Linked DNA regions of Macaca mulatta. The protein of the gene in region 1 interacts with the protein of each later gene in a biochemical or structural test. Links are inferred from orthologs where the notes say so. Each region holds a gene or a part of one and is shown on either strand. Other genes may lie near its edges.

Evidence for each region. The genes of interacting proteins can lie anywhere in the genome.
Region 2: of the proteins of H2AC20 (region 1) and MYSM1, one has a biochemical effect on the other in vitro, tested with the Homo sapiens proteins (2 studies listed by BioGRID). The link is inferred for Macaca mulatta from reciprocal best matches to the Homo sapiens genes H2AC20 and MYSM1.

The regions. Positions count from the first base shown.
Region 1 is NC_133406.1:117,264,206-117,266,302, reverse strand, and holds H2AC20 (histone H2A type 2-C), read left to right. Parts: upstream 1-975; 5' UTR 976-1,032; coding exon 1,033-1,422; 3' UTR 1,423-1,442; downstream 1,443-2,097. Other genes in the region: H2BC21 (histone H2B type 2-E), read right to left, coding at 318-698; H2AC21 (histone H2A type 2-B), read right to left, coding at 1,583-1,975. UniProt on the Homo sapiens protein: Core component of nucleosome. Nucleosomes wrap and compact DNA into chromatin, limiting DNA accessibility to the cellular machineries which require DNA as a template.
Region 2 is NC_133406.1:181,988,347-181,992,001, forward strand, and holds the end of MYSM1 (deubiquitinase MYSM1), read left to right. Parts: intron 1-305; coding exon 306-456; 3' UTR 457-3,082; downstream 3,083-3,655. UniProt on the Homo sapiens protein: Metalloprotease with deubiquitinase activity that plays important regulator roles in hematopoietic stem cell function, blood cell production and immune response.

The DNA of each region.
Region 1 (2,097 bases):
GGCGGGTAAAGAGGCGGATTCCCAACATCCTAATTGAGAACCGACTCCTGGGAATGCTAAGCAGCACAATGAGTGAAGACACGCTCTAGATTCAAAAGCAAATCCAATCATGCACCGGGGACCTCAAGTTCCAAATGGTTAAAAACCTACGTGTGGCATTTCCCATGACCTTTACGCTAAAATTACTTTATGAGAAGAAACTAAGGGAGTAAGTGAACAAGCTCTTTTCTAGTGATTAGGTGGGTGGCTCTGAAAAGAGCCTTTGGAGTCAAGCAGCCGGCGACTCGAGCGAGCGAGCGCCAGGTCCCGGCAGGGACTCACTTGGAGCTGGTGTACTTGGTGACTGCCTTGGTGCCCTCGGACACGGCGTGCTTGGCCAGCTCGCCGGGCAGCAGCAGGCGCACGGCCGTCTGGATCTCGCGGGACGTGATGGTGGAGCGCTTGTTGTAGTGCGCCAGGCGGGACGCCTCTCCCGCGATGCGCTCGAAAATGTCGTTGACGAAGGAGTTCATGATGCCCATGGCCTTGGACGAGATGCCGGTGTCGGGGTGGACCTGCTTCAGCACCTTGTACACGTAGATGGAGTAGCTCTCCTTGCGGCTGCGCTTGCGCTTCTTGCCGTCTTTCTTCTGGGCTTTGGTGACGGCTTTCTTGGAGCCCTTTTTAGGAGCCGGAGCGGATTTTGCCGGTTCAGGCATGGTAAGACACAGTACAAACGCGGCTTAGCCAAGAAAAGAAGTAAGAGAATGGGCGGGCCTGATTCTTTTATAACCACCTTATGCAAATTAGGGCTCCGAAAGTCATTCATTTCCATTGGTCCGTGTGCGGACCTTGCGTTTTCAGCAATGCGTACGCAACAACACCGACTCTTGACTTGATTGGCCGGTTCTGAAGCCATATTAGGACCAATGAAAAACTCGTTCTAGACCCCACCCCTAGGAAAGCTTATAAAGGCTTTCCTCTTGGTTCTCTTTCAAGCTTATTTTGTAGCGAGGTTCTGAGCATTGTCTGTGTTTAACCTTGGTTTCAGTCATGTCTGGTCGTGGCAAACAAGGAGGCAAGGCTCGCGCCAAGGCCAAGTCGCGCTCGTCCCGCGCTGGCCTCCAGTTCCCGGTAGGGCGAGTGCACCGCTTGCTGCGCAAAGGCAACTACGCGGAGCGGGTGGGGGCTGGCGCGCCAGTCTACATGGCGGCGGTCCTCGAGTACCTGACCGCCGAGATCCTGGAGCTGGCGGGCAACGCAGCTCGGGACAACAAGAAGACGCGCATCATCCCTCGTCACCTCCAGCTGGCCATCCGCAACGACGAGGAACTGAACAAGCTGCTGGGCAAAGTCACCATCGCCCAGGGCGGCGTTTTGCCTAACATCCAGGCCGTTCTGTTACCAAAGAAAACTGAAAGCCACAAAGCCAAAAGCAAATAAATGCAGACAAACAAACCAAAGACCAAAGGCTCTTTTTAGAGCCACCCAAGTTTTCAAAAAAAGAGCTAATGCGCTATTTCGTGATCAGCCCTTCATTTGACACTTTGGTGGCTCTTAAAAGAGCCTTTGGGGTGAATGAGTATGGTGTCAAGCCTCTTAATTACTTGTTCTTGCCAGGCTTGTGACTCTCCGTTTTCTTGGGCAACAGGACAGCCTGGATATTGGGTAAGACGCCGCCCTGGGCAATGGTGACACCCCCGAGTAACTTGTTGAGCTCTTCGTCATTCCTCACGGCTAGTTGCAGATGGCGAGGGATGATGCGCGTCTTCTTGTTGTCCCGAGCCGCGTTGCCTGCTAGCTCCAGAATTTCCGCGGTCAGGTACTCGAGGACCGCCGCCAGGTACACCGGGGCGCCTGCCCCCACCCGTTCCGCGTAGTTGCCCTTGCGCAGCAAGCGGTGCACTCGCCCCACCGGGAACTGGAGGCCAGCGCGGGACGAGCGCGACTTGGCCTTAGCGCGGGCCTTGCCTCCCTGCTTTCCGCGTCCTGACATTACGGCTAAAATTGCAGTTACAGCTTCTTTTACAAGGAGAAGAATGTGGAAAGAATAACCAATTTGATGTAATTTATAAGAGCTACCGGGAGGGGTGAAGGGAAGTCGTTTGATTGGCTAAA
Region 2 (3,655 bases), about 65 Mb from region 1:
CAAGGATGATACTTGTCAAGAGTTTGGGGCCTTGAGAGCACAATTTTCAAAGTAATATTTAGTATTTTCTGACTATAGAGTTCATTTGTCTTGTAAAATATATTTTAAAATTACAGAGAAGTGTGAAGTACAAATATCTCAGTGCTACTATTTAAAAAACGCAATTAGTGTATAAATCCTTCCCCATCTTTTTAACAGCATAATTTTAGTATGTTAACATTGGTTACTTTTTTATCTCTTCTTCCATCATTTTCCCTGCTTCCTTTTTCTTTTGTCATATTCTTAAAACAATTTTGCAACCACAGGTACCCACATTGCTGTCACTGCCAGCCTTGGGCTACTACCGAGGATAATGGAGCCAGGGCCTTGGAGAAGCACAGAGGAAGTCTAGAACTGAGGGGGCCTATGACACAGGAAGTTCAGGATGCAGGGTCTCAAAGGAACACCTGCCTCTAATGTTTACAGAAGTGAAGAAAGGACTAAGGGACTTAAAGACATGCAGGTGTCTTCATCCTGATTCTGTCTTTATTATTGCGCAATGGCTATAAAATAATGAGCTTAATTTTTTTTTTTTGTTTTCTGGGTTGGCTAATGGAAATCGACGCTAGCACTTCCCCAATATTAGACTTACCTAATTCCAAAGTAGCATTCAAGGAAAGAAAAAGCAGTGGAGCAGGATCAGTAAGCTCAGACTCTCCATCTCCATTATTTTAGCCTTGACCATTCTTCTCTAATCCTTTTAAATTATCTTCAGTTTCCTGTTCAAATTATATGGCTTCAGTTACAATTTGTTTGACCCTGTATTCAGAGCTGCAATATGATTGTTGTGGGCCCTAGGTAGTTTTGCCTTCTTAGACCCCTTCTTCCATACAAAATTTAAAGTGATATTTTACAATTGTGTTTGTATGAAATGAATGTATTAATATTTTAGATTAAAACATTTTGTTTAGTCTAAAAGTTCAGTGTTTTCTTATGAGGCTGAAAAAAAAATTAAAATATTTTTCTGGGCTTCTAAAATACTGTGGGCCTTAGGTACTGTGCGTAATGGATAAGTTGGCACTGCCTATATTCTGAAGGGCATCACTGGAAAAATAGCAGTCATTATTCTGTCCCCTTCTCCCACTAGCACAGTTCTTGGGGAAGCCTTTGCCACCCCAAGCAAGAGCACTATAGTTTCCATGGTTATAGATCTATAGACTTGAACTTCCTTCCCAACCTAACCAAAACTCACGCGGGTTACTTGGGACCATTCATCTTCAGAAAAGATAGGAAGCAGTGGTTTCTTTTAGTCTTCAGATATTTTGTTCTGGTCGGTCCCTAATCTATAGTTTTGAAACTCGTGCCGCACTTGAAAGGGAAACATCCTACTACCTTTCTTTGCTCTCCATTTCCCACAAACCCTTTCCTTCATCGTCACTCCCTCCATTCTTCTCAGCATATAGATACAAGACCCTTCTTTCTATTATTTGTTGAGAGCTAGGCCTGTAGAATAGAGATGAACAGACCATTCATGTTTCCCTGAAGCTATTTAATGCTGCTCCCAGTCTTCTGTCCATACCATTCCTTCCCTGCCCCTAGGAGTGGGGTTAAGGTCTGTGACATGCAGACTGTAAGCACAGTCAGAATCTGCAGCTCTCAACCCAACAGAGACTGTGGCCTCAACATGCCAACCGGAGCAGGTCTCCTCCTCTGCATTACCTTCCTCCCATTTCTCTTGCTGAGTCCTGATGAGTTGAGCTGGAGGAACTAATAGTCAGGATGCCCTGGAATTGATGCTGCTCTGTTTTGTGCTCACAAAAGAGCCGTGTAACACATGACCACCTGAGTTGAAGCCATCCAGTCGCAAGTCAACAGACAGCAGTTGATGGAATTCTCAGTAGAAATTCAGTAAGGGTGCCCACATTTTTTTTTTTCCACCTATACTCTACCAATAGCTAGATTGGTCTAAATCTAGAGTCACTTATATGGTATTTAGGAAAACTTGTTTTATCCAAGCACAAAGAAAAGCACATACATTTTTATGATCATCTGCTTCGTCAGGGTAAATAAATGATTTAAAAAGAATTTTGATCAGCAGCTCTAGTTTACCAGTACTTTAATATTAGTTTTCTTACAAATTAATATATTTTGCAATATTTCCAGAAAATCAGTGCGGGAGAATAATATAATTTAGGATATATTTCCTGACCTTTTCTTAAATGGCTTTATGTGCTATTCCCCCACATTCTGCTTTCTCTATTTTCTTTTTTATTTAACCTATAATTATACTTTCTAGTATATTCTGAGTCTGTCTTCTAAGCCACCTTACATTTTTCCTGGAACAAGAGAGGGAATAAATATGTTGTCTCTTAAATCAGGAGAAAATAAAAATATCCCAGGGGAGCTGTGATTATGCCAAGAGCTCTAAACAGAAGTTTGAGAAGGTAAAATTAAGTTATAATGTCTGAGTTGTTTTTATTTTCTTCCTTTGATGTTTACAAAGGTATCCATAAGAACTTTAATTTCAGGGAAAAAATGCCTGATTTGCTCTTTTTGACGTTTCCTTGTCTCTTAAGAAGTCAGTTAAATATTTTTCATAGTTTATATTCCTATTTCATAGATTACTGTAAAATGTGTTTAAACCTACGAATTATAAAATAGTATTTAGATTCTAGCATGAGTTAAATAGATCAATCATATATCTTTAGGTTTGTGGATTTGACATGTAAATTATGTGTTGTGTATAAGTTACTAAACATACTGCATGGTTATTGATAAACTTGTTGCTTGTTTTTTCCAAATGCTATCAGTGTTTGTGGACTTTCTAAAATTAGTGTGAATTTTGGAATGTTCTGTAATAAAATATAATTTCAACTATTTTGTACATTTAAACATGCCATGTTGTATATGTCTGTATTTAAAAATATTGTAAATATCTGCATTTTTAGAATTATGAAAGATTTTCCTCAAAAATGACAACTCTCCATACTTAATTGTGACACATTATAAAATATCTGATTTTAAGCTTTTGGATTTTATCTTGTTCTAAAAATTAAGTTTAAACATGCTGGAGATTCCATAAAAATAAAATTTTGAAAATAAAGTGATCATTTCGATTCTTTCTAAATTATTAGCAATATATACATTGAATTGCAAAAAAAAATGCCACATATTAATTTATCAAAGATTTGTTGAGCATCTATTATACAGAACACTGTAGGGGAAGCAAAGATGAGGAAATCTTGGTTTCTTCCCACAAGAAGCCTTATCTAGTAAGTGGGAAAACAGATAAAGCCCAACATGAATAGCTAAGACACTAGGATGCAAAAAGACTCCCAGGGTAATGGATGGTTAAACAAATGAGAAAATTCTCTGGAATATGAGCAGTGAGATCAATTTCTGGGGAAGAGAAACCGCCTAATCAGATTTGGTTAAATAGCATCTGTGGGAGGATGCTCCAGAGAGAAGTGTTTAGCATAGATGTGGAGATAAGGAATGAAAATGGTGCGAGTTTTGGTTAAAGGGTAGAGTATATGACGATGTTCGTTACGAAAGCAATACACATTCTGTCAATGAAAGGCTATAGAAGGTGTAAAGGAAGTGAAAATCTACCTTAAAAGCAGTATTCACTCATTTATTGATCTTCAACTTTCCAGGCTGTTTGCAAAACCTATAA